7 linked regions of the Tribolium castaneum genome follow. The protein of the gene in region 4 purifies or fractionates together with the protein of the main gene of each other region. This does not show direct contact. Links are inferred from orthologs where the notes say so. Each region holds a gene or a part of one and is shown on either strand. Other genes may lie near its edges. The genes, in order: rept, Neurochondrin, splicing factor 3B subunit 4, 116 kDa U5 small nuclear ribonucleoprotein component, ecd, RNA-binding protein cabeza and RIOK1.

What was found.
Region 1: the proteins of 116 kDa U5 small nuclear ribonucleoprotein component (region 4) and rept purify together in Homo sapiens (affinity purification with mass spectrometry; 5 studies listed by BioGRID and IntAct, with this or other methods). This does not show direct contact. The link is inferred for Tribolium castaneum from reciprocal best matches to the Homo sapiens genes EFTUD2 and RUVBL2.
Region 2: the proteins of 116 kDa U5 small nuclear ribonucleoprotein component (region 4) and Neurochondrin purify together in Homo sapiens (affinity purification with mass spectrometry; 4 studies listed by BioGRID and IntAct, with this or other methods). This does not show direct contact. The link is inferred for Tribolium castaneum from reciprocal best matches to the Homo sapiens genes EFTUD2 and NCDN.
Region 3: the proteins of 116 kDa U5 small nuclear ribonucleoprotein component (region 4) and splicing factor 3B subunit 4 purify together in Homo sapiens (affinity purification with mass spectrometry; 3 studies listed by BioGRID and IntAct, with this or other methods). This does not show direct contact. The link is inferred for Tribolium castaneum from reciprocal best matches to the Homo sapiens genes EFTUD2 and SF3B4.
Region 5: the proteins of 116 kDa U5 small nuclear ribonucleoprotein component (region 4) and ecd purify together in Homo sapiens (affinity purification with mass spectrometry; 5 studies listed by BioGRID and IntAct, with this or other methods). This does not show direct contact. The link is inferred for Tribolium castaneum from reciprocal best matches to the Homo sapiens genes EFTUD2 and ECD.
Region 6: the proteins of 116 kDa U5 small nuclear ribonucleoprotein component (region 4) and RNA-binding protein cabeza purify together in Homo sapiens (affinity purification with mass spectrometry; 3 studies listed by BioGRID and IntAct, with this or other methods). This does not show direct contact. The link is inferred for Tribolium castaneum from reciprocal best matches to the Homo sapiens genes EFTUD2 and FUS.
Region 7: the proteins of 116 kDa U5 small nuclear ribonucleoprotein component (region 4) and RIOK1 purify together in Homo sapiens (affinity purification with mass spectrometry; 3 studies listed by BioGRID). This does not show direct contact. The link is inferred for Tribolium castaneum from reciprocal best matches to the Homo sapiens genes EFTUD2 and RIOK1.

What each region holds. Positions count from the first base shown.
Region 1 is NC_087401.1:15,890,373-15,894,367, reverse strand, and holds the start of rept (ruvB-like 2), read right to left. Parts: upstream 2,801-3,995; 5' UTR 2,729-2,800; coding exon 2,723-2,728; intron 2,546-2,722; exon of another isoform or gene 2,393-2,545; coding exon of another isoform or gene 2,387-2,392; intron 2,278-2,386; coding exon 1,892-2,277; intron 1-1,891. Other genes in the region: uncharacterized protein LOC663271, read left to right, coding at 3,053-3,110, 3,167-3,404, 3,455-3,594, 3,641-3,942. UniProt on the Homo sapiens protein: Possesses single-stranded DNA-stimulated ATPase and ATP-dependent DNA helicase (5' to 3') activity; hexamerization is thought to be critical for ATP hydrolysis and adjacent subunits in the ring-like structure contribute to the ATPase activity.
Region 2 is NC_087396.1:14,824,231-14,826,452, forward strand, and holds the end of Neurochondrin (neurochondrin homolog), read right to left. Parts: coding exon 612-2,222; 3' UTR 501-611; downstream 1-500. Other genes in the region: N-acylneuraminate-9-phosphatase, read right to left, coding at 209-383. UniProt on the Homo sapiens protein: Probably involved in signal transduction in the nervous system, via increasing cell surface localization of GRM5/mGluR5 and positively regulating its signaling. Required for the spatial learning process.
Region 3 is NC_087395.1:2,320,617-2,322,969, reverse strand, and holds the end of splicing factor 3B subunit 4, read right to left. Parts: intron 1,331-2,353; coding exon 542-1,330; 3' UTR 501-541; downstream 1-500. UniProt on the Homo sapiens protein: Component of the 17S U2 SnRNP complex of the spliceosome, a large ribonucleoprotein complex that removes introns from transcribed pre-mRNAs.
Region 4 is NC_087401.1:10,807,705-10,811,204, reverse strand, and holds part of 116 kDa U5 small nuclear ribonucleoprotein component, read right to left. Parts: intron 174-3,500; coding exon 1-173. UniProt on the Homo sapiens protein: Required for pre-mRNA splicing as component of the spliceosome, including pre-catalytic, catalytic and post-catalytic spliceosomal complexes. Component of the U5 snRNP and the U4/U6-U5 tri-snRNP complex, a building block of the spliceosome.
Region 5 is NC_087394.1:35,465,463-35,469,706, forward strand, and holds the start of ecd (protein ecdysoneless), read right to left. Parts: upstream 2,801-4,244; 5' UTR 2,759-2,800; coding exon 2,515-2,758; intron 2,363-2,514; coding exon 2,157-2,362; intron 1,772-2,156; coding exon 311-1,771; 3' UTR 1-310. Other genes in the region: tether containing UBX domain for GLUT4, read right to left, coding at 2,945-3,297, 3,380-3,737, 3,788-4,244. UniProt on the Homo sapiens protein: Regulator of p53/TP53 stability and function. Inhibits MDM2-mediated degradation of p53/TP53 possibly by cooperating in part with TXNIP. May be involved transcriptional regulation. In vitro has intrinsic transactivation activity enhanced by EP300.
Region 6 is NC_087395.1:19,588,953-19,593,145, forward strand, and holds the start of RNA-binding protein cabeza, read right to left. Parts: upstream 2,801-4,193; 5' UTR 2,684-2,800; coding exon 2,674-2,683; intron 2,488-2,673; coding exon 2,314-2,487; intron 2,305-2,313; exon of another isoform or gene 2,226-2,304; intron 2,114-2,225; coding exon 2,009-2,113; intron 1,959-2,008; coding exon 1,901-1,958; intron 1,390-1,900; coding exon 1,361-1,389; intron 1-1,360. Other genes in the region: MED19 (mediator of RNA polymerase II transcription subunit 19), read right to left, coding at 3,204-3,479, 3,531-3,787, 3,840-4,020. UniProt on the Homo sapiens protein: DNA/RNA-binding protein that plays a role in various cellular processes such as transcription regulation, RNA splicing, RNA transport, DNA repair and damage response. Binds to ssRNA containing the consensus sequence 5'-AGGUAA-3'.
Region 7 is NC_087402.1:315,187-318,680, forward strand, and holds RIOK1 (serine/threonine-protein kinase RIO1), read right to left. Parts: upstream 2,153-3,494; coding exon 1,025-2,152; intron 896-1,024; coding exon 518-895; 3' UTR 512-517; downstream 1-511. Other genes in the region: nonsense-mediated mRNA decay factor SMG9, read left to right, coding at 1-238, 318-511; Dbp45A (probable ATP-dependent RNA helicase DDX49), read left to right, coding at 2,436-2,502, 2,546-3,248, 3,343-3,494. UniProt on the Homo sapiens protein: Involved in the final steps of cytoplasmic maturation of the 40S ribosomal subunit. Involved in processing of 18S-E pre-rRNA to the mature 18S rRNA. Required for the recycling of NOB1 and PNO1 from the late 40S precursor.

The sequences.
Region 1 (3,995 bases), about 5.1 Mb from region 4:
ATCGTTGCAAACTCTTAGGAAAGAGAAAAGGCGAAATAAAAGATAAATGTGAACCAAAAAATTAAGTTAACAAAATTCAAAAGTGAGGTCAAATTATTACAAAAGAAAGAACAAAATAAAAAAATTATAAAATTTTCTTATTCCCTCTGTTTGTGGAGATTGAAAATAACTGAAAAATTGAATTTTTTTTACACTTTTATTGTTTATTCATAAAGTTGAAGTCGCTTTAACTCTTAAAGTTCATAACGTTACTTTAACATTATGAATAAACGGTAATTTTTTCGATTTTTTAATTATTCCCAATTTCCACGAATAAATCAACAAAGACAGACTAAAAAAATAAAATAAACATTGAAAAACGAAAATAATTTGGAAAATAAATTTGATAAAATAAATCAAAAATAAGTGAAATTAGGAAACGCCTACAAGAAACAAGAAATAAAATATAAAAAAATCCAAGAATTTAATACATAAATCGATACGAAATAACGAAAACCAAAATACGAAAAAATAATATGTAGACACAAAAACCTAATTAACAAATAACAAAAAAATGTATAGAAAATAAAGAGAAAATGTGTTAAATAAAAGTGGAAAATAAAACATAAATGTGAACCAAAAAAATAAGTTAAAAAAGCAAATGCCCATTTTTTTCAAGCTTTTAATTTTTTTTTCTCCATGAATAAATTAAAAAAGACAAAATAAAATTAAAAAATTAAAAAAAAACTGGTAAAACAAAACATAATATAGCGATCCCAAAAGTGACGGACCACTAATAAAAAACTTTCAGTTAAACTGTTAAACATAAAAATAAATTTAGTTTTTTCTTTAATTTTATATATTTTTTTTCAAAGTAAATAACCATCTTTTCTAATCTTGTCGGGTGTAATTTATTGTCAAACCTGCTAGTTTATTAAACGTTTTCATATTTATATTTGAAAATGAACTATAAAATTAAATTACCAACATATATTATAAAAAAACAAAATTAGTATAACAAAAAATTAAAATCGTCGCAAAACCAAAAAAATAAAATTACTTAAAAAATATGGTTCAAGTCCAAAGAATTACGGGAGAGTGAAAAACATCAATAATAAAATAAACGAAAAAAGAAATAACACAAAAAAGAAAAAAAACCTCTTGTAACAAATTAAAAAAATAAAAAAAATCAAGAGAAAGCAAAAAAAATGAAAAGAAAGCAAAAAAAAACAGAATAAGAAGCACACAAAAGTAAAAAAAATCCGTTGTAGAAAATCAACGAAATAGAAAAAGTAGATTCTTTCCATTTCGAAAATATTTTTTTATTAAAATAACCCTCAATATTGAATATTGAATATTGAAAAATTAGAGAATTCATCACTAAATTTTGCAAAATAAATTCCGAGACACACTGTTTTGTTTTTTTTCTTGTAAATCTTTGTTCCCGAAAAAAAAACACGGGGAAAAATTTTTTAAGCTTAACAAACGACTAAATTAGAAAAAAAAATATTTTTTAACAGATTTCTAAATCAATAAAAACTATAAATTCAAAGTTTCAGAAGTTAGTATATAGGCAACCAACAATACACCGACTATAGTATTTCAATTTTTTTTGACATTTTTATACCGGGTGACTACTGAAAAGCCATTAGCACTTTATACATTCGCTGTTAAGGCTAAATGATTCTTGATATTAATCATTTATTGTTAAATAATTTTATTTTTTGTGGTTTTGTAATTTATATATTTTGTAGAAAAAAATTTTTCGTTAAATAAATAAATAAATAAATAAAACGGATCTTGTCGTCAGTTTTGTGATAAATCTGAACTCTTAATTCATAAAACAAGCGCAGTATTGCCAAATAATTCCCCCATACAATTCATCACAGTCACCCGGTATTCCAGCACTTACTTGATCCGCACCCCGATACTCTTCCTAATCGCCTGCGTCAGCGCCTCCGTCTTGCTCATCTCCAGCGAGTAAATCTCCGAGCCTGCCATGCTCGTAAAGGGGGTGTCCTGCCCCAGGGCGGCGGCCAGAGCCGTCGCAATGGCCGTTTTCCCCGTCCCCGGTTGCCCCGCCAAAAGCACGGCCCGACCAGCAATCCGCCCCTCCCTCACCATCTTCAAGACAATCCCGATAGCCCTCCTGGCAGACACCTGCCCCACCATCCCTTGCGAGACATGCCGGGCCTCGAGACTCTCATCCAGACCCAGCCCCCGGATGTGGGAGTGGGCCCCAATGCGCTCCACGCGCGTGGTTTCACGCACTTCGGCGATTTTTGCAGCGGCGGCGCTCTGCGAAAGTGGGGTTAGGGTCAGCAAACGCCGCAAAAACGACACAAATGCGATAATGTTATCAGCAAAAGGGTGTTTTTAACGAGATAAGGGAGAATGGGGTACTTACAGCCATTGGGGTTGTGGTTTTTGCGGCTTTTTTGCGTTTTTATGCACAATTTTAAAGGAAATGCAAAAACAATGGAGGGACGCGGTACCAACGTAACTGCGAAAATCACCAGAAAAAGTGTACCCACTTCGTAATTTAATTAATTAAGCATAATTATTATATTAATTTTACTCGAAACACATAATTAAATTAAATAATTCGTCGGGAAAAAAGTTTTATGTGACAAAAACGTCCCAAACTTGAAATTTTTGTAATACCAACTGTGTAACTTCTGTATTAAAAATTGTTTTTTGTGGGCTTTTTTCATTAATAAATGATTGTTTTGTTAATACTTACAGCCATAGCACTGCCACAATTAACCCAAACTTTGAATTAATTAATTGAAATAATTGATCAAACACTGGGCCCTTCAAACAAAGTGCTGCCAACGTGCCGAAAACCGGCGCCAATTTCCATTCAAACAGTTTAAAACAATGTTAAACCAATAATTACGGGCGTTTTTGCCTCATTTGTGCCACATTAGCACAAAATTTCCGCTCCCTAATTGCCTATTGTTGCAATTAGGAAAATTATGTACGAATTACAAGGTTTTCAACTTTTCGACACTACAAATACTTTTCACTAACTCATTTTTAATAATAGTTTTCGACTTGATTCCGTAGAATAATGAGTGCGATTTTACTTGTGGTGCTTGTTTTTGGCTCAACTTTTGCCAAAACTTTGCGTAAGTCGTTTAATTGAATTAACCATTGATTTTAATTAATTAATTAATTAATTAAGCGCCCGAAATTATCAAATGTCGCAAATCGGATCCTAATTTAAACCAGTGTTTGGATAAATATGTTATGGAAGATGTGCGTAAGTTGGCCATGGGGAACAGGGATTTGGGGATTAGTCAGTTGGAGCCACTGCTTATACCGGAGGTGACCTTGGGCCAAGCGTCCAAGGACACGCTCCAGCAAGTTTACAAAAATGTGAAAATTCACGGCATCACCTCGGCTACGATCAAAAATTCGAAGTAACAATAAAATTAACAAAAAAAAAAAAAAAATTGAAAAAAAATTTTAGGGTTAATTTTACGCAAGGGAGTTGTTATTGGAGCTACGATAGCTTGACTCCCGTCGTGCGTATGGAAGCCGATTACAAAATCAACGGAAAGTTGCTCATTTTCACACTAAACGGTGAAGGGAAGTGTAATAACACGTTCTGTGAGTGAAGCACTCGGCTTCGCCTCGTGCCTAATTCTTTTTTTAGGGGATGTTGAAGGCGCCAATCACTTCAAATGTGAAAGGTACACCAAAAAAGGCAAGACTCACTTGAGAATGACCGAGCACGTGTTTAAATTCAACCCGAAAAAAGTGATTTTTTCCTATGATAACATAATCAACGGTAACGAACAGCTGAGCCAACAAATCATGAAAACAATCAACGAAAATTCCCTAACTGTTTATGCCGACTTTGGCGCCGCCATTGAGCAAGTGATGGCAACAGTGTGGTCGCAGAATATTAACGAAGTGTTTGCGAGGGTTCCCGAAGAAGAATTATTTTTACCATAGTCAATAGAAATATTTTATTTAAACTAGTGATATGACAGTCAACTTATTTTTTG
Region 2 (2,222 bases), on a different chromosome or scaffold from region 4:
GCATATAAAAAAGAAGATATTACACAAGATCTTTTAAATTTAATAATAGTACTGGTGATTACCGTACGCGGAATACAATCAAAAACATTAAAAAAATTGCTCAACAGCAAACTGTATGTGCCAAGATAAAAGATTCTGCAACAACTGAACTACCAAATATTTATTTATTCCGCTTTATTGTAACAAATTTTCGCCAACTGCTGCTTACCTGCATACTTGTTGTACTGATCCCCCAGCGCCTGAGCCCAAAGCAGCCTCCTCCACGCATCCAAACTCATCGATAAATTCTCGGGGCATTTCCTGAAAGCCTTCAAAAAGGCTTTCGAGGCATTCGTTGCAAAATCAGTTGGAACGTCCCATTTCTCCCACAGAATTTGCGCTAGCTACAAAAAACGACACAGATACCCCTTATTAATACCTGCCATGACTATGCGTAAATTATTTTAGATACATCTATCGTTGCCAAAATCCACCTACACATCCCGAAATAAAACCACGTCTCGTCGACAAATACATTTATTTAAATATAATACAAAATCGATTACTTCGTATAAAAATCATCAGCGCCAAAAATAAAACAAAAAATGCATTAAAAGCACAAACGCACAGGTTTAATCCCCGAACAACTTCTTTCCTAATTCCATCAGTCTGTGATTCCGGCAAACCCTCAAAGCTTCAGCTTTCTTCAAAACATCGGTAACACTCTCGTTGGCGTCGACTAAGTGGCAGAGGAAATCTTCATAAGCTGATTTAACGTTTGGTGGGAGAGTCCCGATTTTGACTTTCTTCAATGTCTGGACGATGCCTTCGGCCCAACCGCTTTCAATCGCAAATTCAGAAATCCAGGGGATTTGGGCGATGACGCCTGACATGGTTTGCATTCCCAAAAACCAGAGTTCCATAAGCTCCATCCAGTGTTCTTTGTACGCCATTGACACAACCAAAGCGGTTGGGTCATTTGACTCATCAATGATGTACGCATCCCATAAAAACCTAATAGTCGCCTGGATGTAACGACAGATCGAAAAATCATTCTTCTTCACTTTATTCGAGAGCTGCTTCAGCAACAAAAGCCCCAACACGGCCAAATTCCCGTGAAGAACGAGATTCTCGGGAATATCCTTCAACTCCGGCAAATTCTCAAAAATAAATTTAAGCAAATCGTTGAAAACATCACTCTCTTCGACGTATTTCGTTTCCAGCACAGTCAGATTCATCAATACGTTACAGGCGCTGATCATGGCAGTCCTGGAGTCTTGCATTTCGGCCAAAAGTTCGGGCGATAGTTCCTGTTTTGGTTGATTTAGAACTTTCAGACGTTCGGATCGTGGAACCGGTGGACGTTTATAATGAACGATGCTCCAGTGAAACTGCACCAAGTCGAAGAGAACTTTATCTTCATGGTGTTTCAAGATAATGGCACGTGCTGCATCCTCCACGGCCAAATGGCAAAGACCTGGCAGAAGAATTCGCAAAATATCCACAGAATTGGCAGGGTTTGTTTCACTTTCAATCCCTGCTTTCTCGGCAACTCTTTTCGCCTTATGCGCATTGAAACTTTCATTGGCGATTTCGAGAATGAACGGTAGGAGTTGGTAGACCTGGATGCGTAACGCGGAGGTTTCTTGAGCCAACCAAGCTGCCAGAACTCTGATGGTAGCATAAACAAACCATTTTTCATCGCCAGAAGGTTTATTCTTATCAGCGGCCACTTTTAACAGTAGGTTTATAATAGCAGTGAATGCTCCCTTCAAACCGGTATAAAGTGTCTGCTTCTCCTTCTGATCCAAGTCCAACTGATCCGTCGAAATATAATTAATTGACAATTCTAGAATAATGTAACAAGCCGTTACAAGATTCCTTTGGGCGGTTGCAGCTTTGAGACTTTTGCCATCAAGTTGCATTCGGACCTCAATTGCTGCCAACTGTATCAAGAGTAAGAAAAACTGTTTAGGTTTCTCCTCATCGGACATAGCCCACTCGACTCCCAAAGCATCCAAAACACTCGATGCCAAAATTAAAGCCGGATTGCGTTGCTGTGGTCCAATTTTACTCTGCAGTATATCAGTGAGGCCCTTATAGAGACTCATAGGCCAGGTTTCCTTATCTGCACTGTTCACAATCTTCTTCGGACAATTAAAAATCAAGGCGTTAAGCACTTGGCATAACTCGAATTTTCGTTTATCGTGGTCTGTTTCGAAATCGACTGCGATTTTATTAAG
Region 3 (2,353 bases), on a different chromosome or scaffold from region 4:
ATGAATTTCCAAGTGCTAAAGCCGTTGTGTGGACAGGATTTGGACAATCTGTTGGTAAAACTGTAACATGTGCTGAAATTATGAAACGGGAACACAATAATCAGTTACACCAAATAACGAAACTGTGTTATAGGGTGTAAGTTTGTTTTCAATTAAAAATTTCCGCTGACATGACTTAAAATAAGTTGGTGACATTGCATGGCAAACGCCACTAAGAGTGTCACCAACTTAATTTCAGCCTAAGACGACTTGGATCAGAAATTGCATCATATTTTACAATTTTGCAGAGTAGAAGAATTTTGGGATCCAGTTATTCCTGATTTAGACCAAATAGTTGTTAAACGAAAATTGCCAATGATACATATTCTACTTTCACTAGAAACATTAAGTTTTGAGGAATTAGGATATCAAGCCCCTGGTACCACAATACCATTTACTGGAAATAGTGACAATAATAAAAAGGATAATAATAGGAAAATCCAAAAAACAAGACACAAAACGAAATAAAAAAATTCACCTTGACTTTATTGTATTATTGTTTTTACCAATTATTTTCGCTAAAATTATTCGGAGGTGGTGGTGGAGGTCCCCTTGGTGGGAACGGTGGTCTCCCTCCACCAAAATTAACCGGCGGCCTCCAATTCGGGGGCCGCCCCCCTGGAGGCGGTGGCGGCGGGAAACATCCCGGGAACGGCGGTGCACCTGACGTTGGGGGCGCTGCCGAGTTTGGCGGTCCAGGTGGTGGTGGCGGTAACCCACCTCCACCTTGCCACGGAGGTGGTATCATCCTGGGGGCGCCTGAAGCTTGCGTTGAGGCAGGCATTGGTGGCAGAGGGGGCCGTGCTCCAGCGGCGGAGGTTGGAGGCGGTGGAGGTGCACCTGGTGGCAAGGGCGGTTGGGAGGGAGGTAATGGCGGAGGGGGGATCCCCGAGGGGAAAGAACTGGGTGGAGGAACTGGTGGGGGTGGAGGAGGTTGCATACTTGCCGGAGTGGGGGGTGGTGGAGGCATCATTCCAGCGAGGATTACGGGAGGTGGGGGCGGAGCGAGAGTCATTCCTGGGGGCATCATGCCCATGGGAGGGGCGTCGGCGAATAGTTGATGGGGGCGGTCGGCTTGGGAGAGGGGGTTTTGGGCTGCGAGGAGACGCTCGGCTGCGGAGCCGTGACGTTCGCCTTTGGAGTCTTTCTTGAAGGCGTAGGAGACGGAAATGGGGCGGTTGCAGAGGTATTGGCCGTTCATTGCTTCGATTGAGGCGTCAGATGCTTCGAAACTTGCAAAGTTGATGAAAGCGAAGCCTTTGGAATTGCCAGTGTCGGGGTCTCTCATTATCTACAATATTAAAAAATATAAAAAAAACGTTTGAAAAAAAAAATAGATTGGTATGTGGAGAAGCTGAACGTTTAATTTTACCAAATGGAGTGAGACAAATAACTCAACTGATAAATAACATACAGAGATTAGCAAAATTATAAATAAAAATAAATAAATAAATTTTGAAGGAAGAATGCTCGTATAGGTAATTTTTTTCAATACATGAGAATCCCTAAATCTGTCGCATAAAGCAATACAAGGCACTTACACCTGATTTAACAATTGGGGCTTTTCATGCGAAGCGGACAACGAAAAAATTTGAGATCTTGAAATTCGGTTATACAGGGTCCTCAAAAACTGGCGCACCAACTCAGTGGTACGTTATTGAGAAGCAAGTGTAGATTACGGGAAAAATGTTGAAAAAATTCCTAAAGTCATATTTTAAAAAATCTAGAGCTACAAACTTATTGTATTTAACTTCTTTACTTTTCATTATTTTTTAATGTTTTTATGTTTCACAGTAAGTAATCGTTTCCTAACAAAACGATTAATAATTATTTTTAAATTTTTAAATTTTTTAAAAATGTAAATTTACAAGAAAATAATACATTTCACACTTAACTTAGTTATTTTGTTTTGTTCCTATCGTTTCCAAATACTTTTACAAAATATAGTAGACAAAAACTTTTGTTTTCAATATTTAAATAACAATAATAACATTAATAATTCAGAGTGGCCCATTGCTTGGTGCAAAAGTGAAAGCGCACTACAAAAATTAACGAGAAAAAAGAAAAGAAAGAAAAAGAAATAAGAAATTATCGATATTTTTCTGCCTAGTTAGGTATAGTGGCGGTCAGCTCGATTTGCGTGTGCGTCATCAATTTCATTTTTTCATTACCAACACAAAGCTATAAAAAAATTATCAAAAACAATGCAAATTTAAACAGTTAAGGGCTATCTAAGGGTGGTATCCTTGAACATTGATTTACATGTGCACTTCGACAACACCGTCAAGTGTCACGAATTTGTCAAACTGACATT
Region 4 (3,500 bases):
GCTCCACGGCGATTTTAATGATGCTTTGGGTGTTGAATTTAAGGGGGCGGAAAATGTACAAGTCCTCGTAGATTGTGAGGTCTGTGATTGTGGCTGTTTTAACGATTGATTGGTCGATGCCCTCGATTAGGACCCAATTGCCGGCAGGGACGCGGTTTAGCTCGATTTTGTATCTGGAATTTTGATTAAATAATGCGGTATTTTTAGAATTTTTGAAAGTCAAGACGTAGTAAACAACTCGTTATCATTAATTCATTAGTCGAGGTCATGGAACTTATCTCTAGATGAACGGCCTTGGGGCTAAACGAGATTTTACAACTCGTTGGTTACCTCATTTATTGCGGTTGAGACGCGCAAAAAAATTGCTCCTGGGTTTATTAACGAATCTGATAAGGGCTTAATTGTTTTTTGTTGTTATTTTTGGAGGGGGGGCGAATGGTAAACATTACGACGGTTATGTTATATTATGAGTGTTATGACAAGCAGATGCTTATCAATTAATTAGAAAAATAGTAATTTAGTTAAAGACAGGACGTAGTAATTTTTTGTTTTAAATTTTAACAAGTTCCATTTTATTCCGGACAAACGAACTTATTTATGTTTCTTATGTAACGTCATTCCAGAAACTTAAATATGTATTCCCAGTATTTTCATGTAAGGCTCTAAAGCGTATAGTTTTCGAGTCACACATTTCTTAAATAAATCTAAAAATTGGAAAAATAAAAATCTACCCAATAGACAAAATATTTTGAACTAAACGCCCATATGTAAACTGCCCCGAGAAGTAAATTGAAGTTAAAAAATCGGAAAACTTCAGTTAATTTAGAAATTATCGACATCAGCTAAAAAAATTACAGACCATTAGAGCAATTCTCAATAGTTAAAGGTAAAAGTTGTGAAAAAATACAGAAAATCAAACAAAGAAAGAAACAAGCGTTTTTTTAAATTTAATCTAGTTATCCATGACAGTTACGCCAACAGTGAAACGTATTCGGAGATAAAATTAACTAGACGCCCTCTGGTGATGACTTTTGAACTATGTCGAAAACAGTAAAGAAATTTTCGTAATGCCACATTTAACTGACATTTAATGAATTGTTCAACAATTTTGCGTGTATAGTGTTAATTACTTACAATAGAAAGAATCACTTTAAAAGTACGTGGTGGTAAATACTAGCGTTGACTTTGGTTCTGTAGTTTTTCGTGGTATAAAGTGTTTATTGTTGGAACTTGAAAGTGGATAAAAAGTGAAAAATATTTAAATTTTGATTACAAAGTGTTATCAAACAGTTGTCTAATTAAAGATTATAAGTAATGGATCACAGCGAACACAAAGTTTGGCTCAAGAAACCAATAAATTAGTGAAGTGTGTGAATTTTAGGTTAGAATTTTCCACTGAAAAAATCATGAAATGCTGCGGTAAATCTACAAAACTACAATAAAGATTAACAACTGCTGATACATTTAAACGTAAATTATGCCAAAAGGTAGGCTTTTCAATGTCTTTGTAATAATTTTCCAATAAAGAAAGTGAACCAAACAGTCATTCGTTATTCGTGTTTTCCTCGTCATCTCTCATTTATCAACATAAGTTTCTTGCATCAAAGATGCAATAATCATTCCGCATAGGCAATGTAATAATTGTGAAGCCCCAAAATTCGTACAACGCTCAAAATATCCGAATAAACATTTTCCCTCCATTTATGGTTACTGTTTTCGACCTAGTTCAGTGGCGCCCCCAACGGTAATTTTACTTCCGAATTGCGTAAATAATTTCAGCATCGCTTTATCTGTCAATATGTCCAAAATATTCACCGAAGAACATAAAAAAAATATGTTGGAAACTTATTTCCGTAATGTACATCGAGTTAAAGTAACTGTCATGGATAACTAGATCAAAATTTTAGAAAATCGCATGATGTTTTAACCTCATGGTAAAATAAATAAATGAATAAATAAATAAATGGTAAAAGACACAATAAAATATAAGGGACAAAGTATACAATTATGTTCAACCGTATCGGTTTAAATTGCTTTAAAAACACAAAATCACAGGCACCACAGCACACAATTAAAGATAAAAATACCGAGAACTTTTTGTAGGAAATTTTTCATGGATTTTTAACGATATTCGCAGCATTTTGAAAAATATCACACAGCGCAAAATTGAAATTTTTAATAGAAATATATTTTTCTCATATTTGTTGTTCGATTTTCGTCAGTTTATTAAGAATATTTGTGCTTTTATTCCACGATTAATAAATTAGTTAAATGTAAATTGATTTAAAATAATTTGGAGCTGTGTTAATTTTTTGGGTATTTTATATCTCGTTTCGCCTCATAAAATTGTAGACTTAATTATGACTCACCCAGTATTGTAATTTTACGAGTTTTCCATTATATTCGCACCTATACAATTCATTAAAAATTAAAATCAAAAATGATTTTACGAGCATTTTAACGCATTTTTCATGCAGAAATGCAATTAATTACTCGTATTATCAACCATTTCAGGAATAATGACACCGAAATTTTCAAAATTATCGTAGTAATGTTAAGTTTCGATTAAGAATTCGGTTTATATTTAATGTATTTTGTGACAAGAGTTTTTTTTTTGTTGTGGATTTAAAATGGGAAAGGATAATCATTTAAATTGAAGTAATTCAGTGAATTCTAAAATTTACAAAAAAAATGGTTACATTAAAATGTGGACCTTTGGTCCAAATATATGTAATTTAAATTTTGTTTGAATTGATTAATAAATAAAAAAGTTACGAGGGGGTGCACTTTTCGGTGGGACACCCTGTACATTGTCTTGTAGACGGGAACATAAAATACTGACGTACTACAAGTGTTGAACATCTTTTGAAGAGTATTTTTCTAGTTTCTGGTAGAAAATTGAAATCGGTAAGTAAATTGATTAGTAATATTATTTTTATATCTTCGTAATTTTTGCTGTCCCGTCCGTTATTGTGGTTCTTATTTCTTACGTCGTTAACCAAGACCAAAAATTTTTAATTTCTGTCTAATTTTGATAATGTTAGTCTTTAATAATTAAAAAACCTGGCTGAATATTTTTTTAGAGATATTTTCACACACAAGATTTTTTTGTCCCGTCCGTTATGTGAAACAAAAATAAATTGCAAACAGTTTAACTGGTACTACCAGCTGTTTCAAAACGACAGAAATGTCAACAACGCATTTTACCGAATTATTTTTTTAAATAAAATTGATAAAAATGAAAAATAAAATTAAAACTCTAATGTTTAATGAACTATTAGCCCTAAATAAAATAAATAAAATTTAGAAACCTCACGTTGTAAAACCGTTTAATATCAAAAAAATGAGAACATTACAATTTTAAAAAACAAGAAAATCGTAATTTCATATCTTTGAAAACTCTAGGTTTTATAATTATAAACCCCATCTCTTTATTCATCGAACGTATCTTCAAAAGCATTGACAAATAAGGAAGTTGTATTTCTGTTTATGCAAGAGTC
Region 5 (4,244 bases), on a different chromosome or scaffold from region 4:
AAGTATTAAATATATTCTTTTAATTTTCATAACAAGCAGCTAAATCTAAAATACATATGCGGCTGTACAGAACGAAAAAAAGAAATGTGTCATAGTTGCAAAAACAACGTAACGTTAACACAAAATATTTTTCATATTTCTGAGGTAATATTAAGCATGTAATCAAATCGTTCGTGTTCTGTACAGCTTAACGTGTGAATCTCGTACACTGTATACATCAATAGTGAAAAGACAATGGCAGTAAACCTCCTTATTGGCACGCGCTACAAAAATTAACAGTAAATCAATAAATCGCGCTTAAATAATCATCTCAATCATCGTTATTACTGACATCCAAGTGCACCCCCATCGGCCCTAACATATTACTCGACGGTCCCGCCTCCCCCAACTGCGACTTATAACTCTCCAGAATATTCTTCAACGCATTCACGTCAATATCAACAGGTTTAAAACTCTCAATATCCTCAAACCCGTCCCCGTTCTTCTTCTCGAAACTTTCCCCGATTGTGGTCGCCGCCAGTTCCTTATCCATCTGTTCCATATACTCCTGCATTTTATTTTTAACCCCTTCGTACATCTCCTCATTCCCGGCAACATCGTCGGCGTAATCGCTCATATCAGACCCAGAATCCAAATCCCAACTGTCATCTTCCGGAATGACAAAATTCAGGATGTTCTGAACGGCGCAAGAAAACGCATTCGGATCAAAACTAACTCTATTATTAGCTGTTGTCTCGGTTTTTGTGCCACTTGCGAACGAAACTTTGGTGCGTTTTTTCACGCCTCTAGGGGGCCGAGTTGGGGAATTGTCCAGGTCTGGGTGCTCAACTCCGTCAATATCTGACACGTGGTTTAAGAACGAGGAGATTTTTTCAGTGAAAGAGGCGGCGTCTGAGTTGTTGTTCACTGTAACGAATTTCTTTTGCCCGTATTTTTCTTCTAACATTTTATCCAACTCTTCCGGGCTGACGTTAAGCCACGAATCGTCATCGTCAGGCAAATTACTTTCCTCCTTCAATTCATCGATCTTAAAATCCAAATTTTTGATCAACTGGACAATTTCTTGCCCAATGGCTGGAGAATAGTGCATAGAGTCTCGGTGATTGATGTAGTACTCTTTCGCTTTGTTTAATAAATCGTTGTATTCTCTTGAATGCTCCAACAACCCCCGAAAATAATTTTTCTCTTTCAGTTTCTCAAAATAATTAACCCACCCTTTATCCTGTTCAATGTCCTGGCTTGGTTTGGCTTGCGCGGCTAAAATCTCAAACCCACAGGCGATTTTAACGCCTAAATTCTGCGCTTTAAACTGTGGGCTGTCGCTTTTAGGCAAGTTCCAGCCGGTTCTGCGATCCGGAACGTATTTACTGTGAGTTAGCATTGCGTATAAACATTTAGTAAATGTCACTCTGGCATTTACGCGGTTTTCGGGCGGAAAATATTTCATGGCTTTGCAGGTTTTGGCGTCAACTGGGTCTCGATTACAAAAGACTTGGACGGCGGGGGCTATAAGCCCGGGTTTGTGGCGCAAAATTGCAGCGACACCTACTGGTAGGTAGGCAGTGGCATGGTGAAGACTGGACTGGATTTTGTCAGGGTAGTCTTTTAATTTGTTGATTATACAGTTTTGGATGTCTGATGAGGCTAAAGTGTCGATCGGATTGTTTTGGATTGTTGAGACGGCCTCATTGACCGCCATTTGGGCCATTTCTGGGAGGTGATCCGAGGTGTCTAGAGGGATGATATGAATGTTGCCTTGGTAAATGTATACCTGGAGAAAAACCAGATCCAAGTCAGTTTTGCTTCAGTTATTACAGAAATGTATAAATAATTATAAATGCTTAACTAATAAATTATTACTTAAGTGAATTTTAATGTAGAAGTACTATCTTATAGAGCTGCAATTTTGTTGCAATTTTTTCACATGTTGGTACAGCTTCGTTCATTGACTTGTGTTGCATTCGTTAAATTATTTTTTTGATGGTAACATTTTAAGCCTTCTTTTTCACATCTGAATGCTAGATTATAAACACTATTTTAAAACACTCTTACCATAGCAACGTTTTTTAATTAAAATTTCCAACAAAAAAATCAATTATCACTTTATTCTAATTTGAATTAGAAAAAAGACAAGCACAGATAATGAGAAACCTTACCCTATTTTCGCAGTTGTTAGGGTCTGCCCATAAAGGTAAGTAATCAGCTGCTTCAATTAAAATAAATTCGCCATCAGCGTCGTGCACACGAGCTATTAAACCATCAATTTCCTTAGTTAGGAGACGTAAAAGGAACACAATAAACCACTCGTCCTCTATATTGTCTCCAAAATGAGTTACGCCATATAAATGTGGTGGTAAATACTCTGCAAAACAATTGATCTCGAATTAGGTGATTCAAAAAATTGTTACATTGTGATTTATACAGATTTACTTTAAACAAAGCATTTGCTGGTTTATAACCTCAAAAAATGTAAAAGCACTTTTTTAATGTGAAGTCATAAAATACGACCATTACCTGTTTTTTCACTATCATGAATCAGTGAATTACTAATCCACGTTCTCACAGTTAATTTAAATTCGTCTTTATGCCATAAATACTCATCGGTGTACCTTTTTACGATTTTTTCACACTGATTTAAAACTCTGGTTAACGCAAGTTCTTGTTCTTTGTCGTCCTGGGAATCAATAGGTGGAAAAAGATGATATTCAACAAAATCATCTTCACGAACGGACTCAAGAACGTTAACTTTACTTGCCATTGTTGTTTTAAAAGTAATCAATTAAAAAATTTGAATGACATTTGACACACCATTGGTGCCAATAAAACAAAACTCCCCAAACTATTCAAAAACACCCGCTCCTCTCACCAAAATAAAACAAAATTAGATGCTGAAGTGCTTTTATTTAATATAAGTACCAACTCATATAAACTTAACACTAATAAATCACTTTGATGGTCTAAACCACTTAGGGACTTTTTCCGTTGATTTTATTACTTTCCTCTCGTAACTGGTTGGTTGTGTACTTGGCCCAGCAGCATTTGCTTCAGTCAGTGTATCCATAGACTCATCCTGGCCCATTTCTTCACTCGGAGATTCGGGTCTTGTTCCCTTTTGCCGCAACTGTGACGCCGCTAAACTTGCTTTTGAGTTTGTTGTAAATTTATCCCTCAATTCCGCCTTCAAGCACACAGAACTCCCATCACCATTTGCTCCTAAATGCAACAAAGCCCCCGGCACGCAACCAATTTCCACTAGTTTTGATTCGTCCGAGAGAACATTTTTAGGCGGCGTTGTATCTGTAACAATATTTAAACATGTGATCAAAGTAGTTTCTGACTAGAGTCAAAGGTCACTTGACTGAAGTAGAACAATACTTACAAAGATGAAAATCACTGTTTGGATCTTCTAGGAAAGAAGTGACGAAATCTTTAATATCTTTAACAGTTTCGCTGGGCTTGAAGCTCCCTTGAAGGATGGACCTGTCTGGGAACTGGACGCGTATTACTGACTGTTTATATTTACGCAGTTGGCGTAATTGCTTCTTTGATTCTTCTAAATTGCGCATTGCAGAGGTCATGAGATTAGCGTTGTCCATTTCGTTTCGCTTTCTTCTAATATCGCCCAGAATTTTCTTAGCATCATCAATTGTGAGCTCAAAAAAATCGTCTGGTAGGTCTTCAGCTGGTAAAGAACGCGCCGATTCGAGAGAAAATAACATTGCCTTGCGCTCGCCCAACTGAAAATTTCAAATACAAAATAAAATAATAAAAATAAAATGCTACATACAAAAACAAAATCGTCCTCAAGCTGACTAGATGATGGGTTGGTAACTGGCTCTTTTGGGTAATTTGCGATGTTTTCTGGCAAATCAACATCCATTTTTTCGTCGTCAGACTCAACTTTGGGTTTAGTTTTAGGCGAATGCGTTTCCGTTTCCGGAGTTTTGGAAGGGCTGCTCAATTTTCGTTTTTCCCGTGCTAGTTTCAATAAATCAACCTCAGTTTTCTTTTGTAAAGGCTTCACATCGGTAGTTTTAGAATATTCAGCTTCAGTCTTTAAAGTGCGATGAAAGGGCTTCTCCTCTACCGGTTTCGTAGGCAGAGGAGCAGAGACATTTGCTTGGACTTTTAGTTCGTCAGGCCTTCGATACATTAACCGCATCATCGCCCTACCACCTCTTAGGCCCAAGCTTCGCAAAGTGGCTTTTTGCAAATTGTCGCCGTAAATTTCATTTCGCATATAA
Region 6 (4,193 bases), on a different chromosome or scaffold from region 4:
ATATACCCAATAGAACCTTTTTATTTAATACCAATGAATATAAAAGGAAAAACTTTATTATCCTTTTACCTTTAATATATATATATTAAAATCATAGTACCTCATAAAACCATTCGTAACTTTTTGAAATCCCGATGTATAACAGGGTGATTAAAAAATGAAGGATTAACTCTTACAGGGTGATAAAAGACGTTCAGTTAAGCATAATAATCAATTTTTTTTGCAACCGTATTAATTCTTAGTATTTCTTTTTCCTTAGCAACCGTATTAATTCTTGCGCATTTCTTTCCCATATTGTTGAATTCATTCTTAAATTTGGTAAATTATAAATGTTTTATACGTATTATAGGTAGAGAATTTTTTCAATAATTATCTAATTTTATAAAATCTCTCGAGAGATTTAAGATTACTTCATCTTAACCCAAAGATATAACTTTGTAAAAAGCTATATCTAGTGAAGAAAAAAAGGATCACAATTTTTTTTGTCATAGGAACTTTTAGCTTAGTTGGATGTATTCATCACCATCTAAACGATATATAGTCGGAGACTTTTGAATCACCCTGTACACGAGAAAAATACTATTATGTATTCTTTTACCTTTACTCTATCAATAAAAAACAATGTACTCAATAAGACCTTTCTTTTTCAAACGCCAATGAAAATAGAAGGAGATACTAAATATAAATCTTAAAACCACCTATAAAACTAATCCAAAAACTAGATTTAATCAAATGGACCAAAGATTTTCTTTGAGAACATCTAAAGGTTACTGACAAAACATTAATTACTCAAATTTTTAAAATTTGCGAAAAAGAAAATAATAAAGTATCAATGTTAACAACCATATCTAATAAAAAAATAATAATAATAATAATAATAAGAAATATTAGAATCGCAACTGACGTTTAAAATTCTTTATAAAAACTTGACCAATCGAAACCCAAAGATTTTCTAATAAACATTTTCTGTAATGATTTTGTAAGTTACTCCAATGCTTTATATTTTTGTATAAATGTACAAAAAATTGCAAATACGAAAGAAGTTACCTAATCAGCAAAGAGGAAACAATGAAATGTTGCAACACTTTTCGAAGATAAACAACTTGTCAATTATAGCAACGCACCCTAACATTCGCAGGTGAATAGTGGAAGAGCTGTTTACGTATGATTATTTAGTATTCACATTATAATCGCGGGTCTAAGTTTTGAAACAAGTCCAATAATGGAACACCAAATAATCAAAATGTGTGGGAAATTATAAAACGTAAATAAAAATAATGCAGCTCTTCCAAAAACCAATAAAAATACCAATTAAAAAGTGTACAAAAATGCACTGGTCACAGTGACTCAGTGCTTTTACCTTTGTTATAACCACCCCTGTTGCCGCCTCTAAAACAGAAGTAAAACATCAGTAGTTGTCGAGAGAATGGAGGGGGGTGAAAAACACACACTTCACCAACCATTTTGTTGGCATACACATTGTCTTCATCCACGAAGATCACCTATTTCTAGTTGTTGTCACGTCTATGTACGATGTTTACCTTATTTTTAAACTCTCAAAGATTTTATTATACACCTCAATAACATAACAACCATTTAATTGTAGTAACAACCAACTCAACCTTTAAGGACCGTACCAAAAATAAATACCTCAGGAAAAACCACCTGTTATAATTTAACTCAAGTTTTAACGGCCATTTTCGGCCACCAACAACAAACACAGACGTGTGTATTACAACAAAATACTTACACTATTTAAACTCTGTAAGCAAACTGATATTAATACAGTTTCAACGATTCTTTGACAATAAATACCCATTCATTCATTTTTTATCATTTTACTACCTCCCATCCAAAGTGTAATACCAACAAAGTAAAAGAACAAAAACCGATAACTTACCCATAAGAATCACGTCGATCTAGAGGCCTTTTGTCAAAATCGCCACGGTCTCGGCCTCCTAAACCAAAAATAATTAATTACAAACAACACACAAAACTATGAATGTACCTCCATAGCCGCCACCACCGCCGCCGCCATAACCGCCACTATTGCCGTAGCCACCGCCTCCGCCAGAGTTGTAACCACCTCCTTGGTTATAACCGCCGCCGCCACCTGGAACAATTGACGGTAGTATAGCAAAAAAACAAAACAATTCTTTCAAAAGTAATGTATAGGCGAATGTCTACCCCTTCTCATATCAAGATAAGAAGGGACTATCAATTCCCTAATTATTCTGCGACATAGTAGGAGGTTTCAAGTTTATTAAACAAACTCAAACCATGCCTATGTCGCCCCACATCACTGTTTCTTACCTTGACCGCCGCCATAGCCGCCGCCAGACGAGCGTCCTTGATTCCAAGATCCGCCGCCGCCGCCGGCACCTCCACCTCCCCCGCCCGGGGGGTTGAAACCGCCGGTCGGCGGTGCCCCGTACGTATTGGGATACGCAGTACTGGGGGGCGGTTGGGAATAGTCGGCGTACGATCCTGCAAAAGTGGTTTGTACATAAATTACCCAAATAACGAAAAATCGATAATAATGAAATTAGAGCAAGCCGACGTGAAAAATGCGAACTACCACAACTTCGTAATGTGTTAAGTAGTCGAAATTTGAATACACGAGGTGATTTCGTACAGGGATGAGCGAGATTTTTTAAAAATCGGGATACTTACGATCGCCCATCTTCTACCGTTGGGATAATCGAACAAACAGGAGGAAAATGGATGCGAGGGAAAAGACGCTACGGATTGGGGGCTTGTGATTGGTCGGCGCTAACAGCCCTGCCAACCCCACCAAAAAAACACACTAAATAAAGCACGCCAAAATATTAAATTTTCCACAAACAACCTTGTTTTATATTCTCAGTTCCACTTGAATACCGTCGAGGTACTTAAAAACAACATTTGTGATGGATATAAATTGTAATAATAAGTTTGTATGAAACACAGCTGGAGAACTTGTTGTGGCAGCACTGAAAACCTTATCAGAGTTCAGGGTCGGCCTAAGGGCATTTGTAGGCCCTCAAATTTATTATTTTTTGATAATCATGAATTTAATTAATCTAGTGGTGCTAGCTTTGCTAAAACGACCAGTAAAAACTTAATAAAAATAACAGTCTGTTTATTTTCAAAAATAATAAACAATAAATAATAATAGATCTTAAACCTAGGGTAAGTTGGAATTATTCACAATCCAAAGATCTTCACGAATTTGAGTGTTGGCTGGGCGTTAGGCCCCCACTGTGTTCAGGACTGTGTTTCTGCTTTTTTCTCTTCTTTTCCTTTTTCCTCTTCTTCCGTTCTTTATCTTCGTCGTGTCGTTTCTGTTTTTTATGCTTCTTCTCGTGTGTATCACTTCCAGCATCGGTAATGGTAGTCTCCTGACTTGGAAGCCCCCCATCTTTGTGTTTGTGTTTTTTGTGTTTATTTTTATGCTTTTTCATAGGCGCCGCATTTGCGTAGCGGTATTGTTCAGGGAGCTAAAATCCAATACTCAACAAAACACATTAAAGGGAAATTATCAAGCTTACCGCCCCAGGGTGTAGTCTAAACCCATCCAGTTGGATGCTAGTCAATGGTAACAACTCCTTGCCCCCAATTGGAGGCTTCTCAATCACTGATCTTAGCGAACTGTTATCATGCTGTCCAGGAGAGTCAATAACGCCAGGCAAAGTTGGCAAAAACGAAGATAACTGTTCCTTGAGTTTTTTCCCACTGAATTTGCTGTAAGAGTGCTCAAGGCCATAATAGGCCATCAAATTCGTCGCTCCTGTTAGTTCCGACTCTCCTACAACCACCGTCCGCGTGATTTAAACGACTTCAAGCCTTGTCTTGCTTACCTGGAGGCTCTTTCATCAAATAGAAAGGTCCACTAGGGACAATTGAAGGGTTCTTTCCTAACAAAATTGTCGTTTTTAATGTTCCTGACGAATCCTGACGTGAAACGACAGGGGAACGAGCCCCTCTAGGCGAAGATTTGGGCGAATATTGTTCCACTTTACGAAACTGATCGCCCATCATCTTACAACTTCATCGTTTTGCAACAACGATGCAGCTGGAAATGGGAAATGTCACTTCAGCATCACGTACCAACACAAAATCGTCAAACAAACAAACAAATCAATTGTTACCCTGGTAATTTTCACGGTCTGGCGTTTGGAACCCTGCTAGTTTGGTAACTTTAGGTTTAGTTT
Region 7 (3,494 bases), on a different chromosome or scaffold from region 4:
CCTACACATTCAAACCCTGAGGATGAGCTAAATGACCATTTCCCGCACTTGCTAATGATACACAACAAAGCACAAATGGACGATTTCTCGCCCAGGAAATTCAAAACCATTCAAGAAATTTACAATTTATTGTTTGAAAAAACCAAGCTTCAGAAGGACTCAAATTTGGGGCTGGCTGACGATAATTCCGGCGAACTTTTCAACGTGTTTCTCATCCCGGAATACAATCCCAAATATGGTAATTATTTTTTTTTGTTTAACGAGCAAAATGTTTGCCAAATCGAGTGAGCGCATCTTAAATACTCGATTTATTGCAGATAACATCTACAATGGACACCCGCCTTTGGAAGACCTTGTAAAAAAATTAAGGGCCAATATTTTAGGCGCGATTAAAACGCCCTTAACTCACGTTCAACTGACTGAAAAAACGTGGCTTGTGTACTGTTCAAAAGTATGGGAAAATGTAAAAAAGAGTTCGTTTTTTATCGAATACACTAAACTAATGCCATGAAATAATTTATTTCTTTGAAACCTTCTCTTTCCGTTTTTTGACATGTTTTTTGATTTTTGTTGTCCTTTTGGCAGCTTGTGCCTCTTTGACTGCTTTTTTCCGCGCTTTTTTCTCATCGAGTGTTTCATGTTTGGGTCTTGAAGAGTCAACAAAATTACTACCAGTGTCTTCTTCACTTTCTGAATTTTCTTCAGATGATTCTTTTTCATCCAAAATCTCGGGATGTTGCACAGTTCCACTCAAATCGGCCTTTAAACCGACCAAAGTTTTGTAAACTAAATCGTCAGCTAAACCCGATTTAACTCGAGTTATGTCTCGCTCGAAATCAATCACTTCAGTCAGGCGTTTAGGGATGTAAGCCTGCTTAAACACCTCTTCCTCCACCTGTAATGGAACACCAAAAAAATTTCGTTACTACTAACAAAAAAATACGACAGCATTTTTTTTTTCTAAACTCACTCTGGCAAAGTTTTATGGAATTTTTTGTACTTGTAATTGAGAAAATAATTTTACCTGTTCCTCTGACGTGACTTCGGTGTGTTGAGCCGCTTTCTCAGCCAACGCCTCAAGACACTCCTCCATATTCCCCTCATTTATCGTCGGATCAGTGATAAAATGAAACAAATCCTTGATACCCATAGTCGCAACTTCCTTCTTTTTGAAAAAATCTGTGATATTTGTACAATCCTTCCGCAAAAACTCCAACGCGTGAGGATGGTCATGTTCTACAGATTGTGACACATCGATAACGAAAATTTCGCCATTCAAATAAAGCATGTTGAACTCGGACAAGTCGGCATGTACTAATTTACACTTATTGTACATTTTCCACATGATTATAACCACGTCTCTGTAGATTTCACGCGCTTTTGACTGACTTAAATCCACGTCTTTTAATTTCGGAGCAGGCCAACCCTCTCGACCAATAAACCCCATTAGTAAGACATGCGAACGCAGCAAAATGGGTTCAGGGACATTCAAACCGTTCGAATGCATGCGAATTAAATTCCTCATTTCTTTTTCGGCCCACGTTCGTACCATTTTTCGCGGATTATGTCGACAATAACCGTGTCTGAATCTAAACTCGCCACTAACGTATTTATCGCGATCTTTGAAAACGAGAATCGAGGTCTTGTAAATTTTAATCGCAACCTGGCCCTTATCACTCGTTGCGTGATAAACATTTGCCTCTTTTCCCGTTGAAATACAACCGTTTATTTCGGAAATTACGTTCCGGTTTAATAATTTAAATAAAATCATTCGGGTTCGTGGATCCATGACTTGTTCAGCGGTGGCACGGTCGTGTTTGTCCTTGTGCCGTATTTTCTCATTTTCTTGCCGTTTTTCATTGGCTATGAGCAAATTTGTGGCATGAGGGGGCAAAGCCCGGTCATACGCCTCAACGTTGATTTTGTTGGTGTATTTTTTGAATAAACTGTCGGGGGGTTGGTACGAACTGACTTTTTTTGACGACACTTGGGGGTTCCTCTGGTTTTTGCCCGAAATTGAGTAAAAATCGTCATCTTCACTTTCGTAACTATCTTCATCAAGGGTCAAATTCTCGGTTACGGGGGCCAGAATATCGTCTTCAGCGTCCCGAAAAAGCTCGTCTTCACTCAAAAAATCGTCCGGTGTGGTCATAATTACACAAATAAACGTGCAAAAACTCTGAGGTTATATTGAATTGTCACACGTGTGAACTCGAGTGGCCTTCAGCCCGAACTAATTTCCGTGTTATTGCACAACTTGACCCAATTTATCCCAGCAGTTGGTCAAAAATTTGCAAAAAAATATCCAAAACTCTAGTAAAAACCTAACACTTTGCCCAAAAATCGTAAAAAACGATTCGGTCGTGTACACAATCGGTCGCAATGTCGGGGAACCTAACCCCTCTGAATATTAAGTTTGTGTTTTTCGCGTAATAATGACCGAGAAATCGTTCGACAAGCTCCAGTTGAACCCTTGGATCATTCGCCAGTGCGCCACTATAGGTATGAGCCCCCTTTTGCTTCGTAAATTAATTTTGGGGTACAGGTGTGCGCAGCCCTACACCCATCCAGACCAACTGTATTCCCCCAATTCTCGCCGGTAGGGACTGTATCGGGGCTGCTAAAACCGGCAGTGGCAAAACCCTAGCATTTGCCTTGCCCATTCTCCAGAAATTATGCGAGGATCCTTACGGTATTTTCGCTCTTATTTTAACCCCCACACGAGAACTGGCGTTTCAAATCGCTGATCAGTTTGCAGTCATTGGCAAAGTGATGAATTTGCGCCATTGTGTCATTGTGGGGGGTATGGATATGGTGGTTCAGGGCAAAGACTTAGCCCGAAAACCCCACATTGTGGTGGCAACGCCTGGCCGCTTAGCTGACCATTTAGAAAGTTGCAACACGTTTAATTTTAATAAATTGAGGTTTTTGGTGCTTGATGAGGCCGATCGTTTGTTAGGGGGGCACTTTGACGAACAAATCAAAACGATTTTTCAAGCATTGCCTAAGGAGCGCCAAAATTTATTTTTCTCAGCCACGATCACCGATACTTTAGAAAAACTGAAAGATGTGACAGGGAAAGATGTTTTTTTCTATGAAGCCCCGGCTGAAGTAGCAACTGTTGAACAATTGGAACAAAACTATGTATTGTGCCCCAAAGATGTGAAAGACGCTTATTTGGTTGAGACAATTAGGACGTATCGTGCTACAAATGACGGAAATATCCTTATTTTCACTAACACTTGCAAGTAAAATAATTGGTCTAGAGTTTGAAATTAAGTTGGCAATACTATTTTTGCCAACTTGATTTCGTAGTCGTAGACTAAGTAGGATTTATTGTAGGAATTGTCAAGTGTTGTCAATGACTTTAAATGAGGTCGGTTTTGAAAATGTGGCCCTTCATGCCATGATGAAACAACAACAGAGATTAGCAGCTTTGGCTAAATTTAAATCAAACACAATTAAAATTCTTCTAGCCACTGATGTTGCAAGTA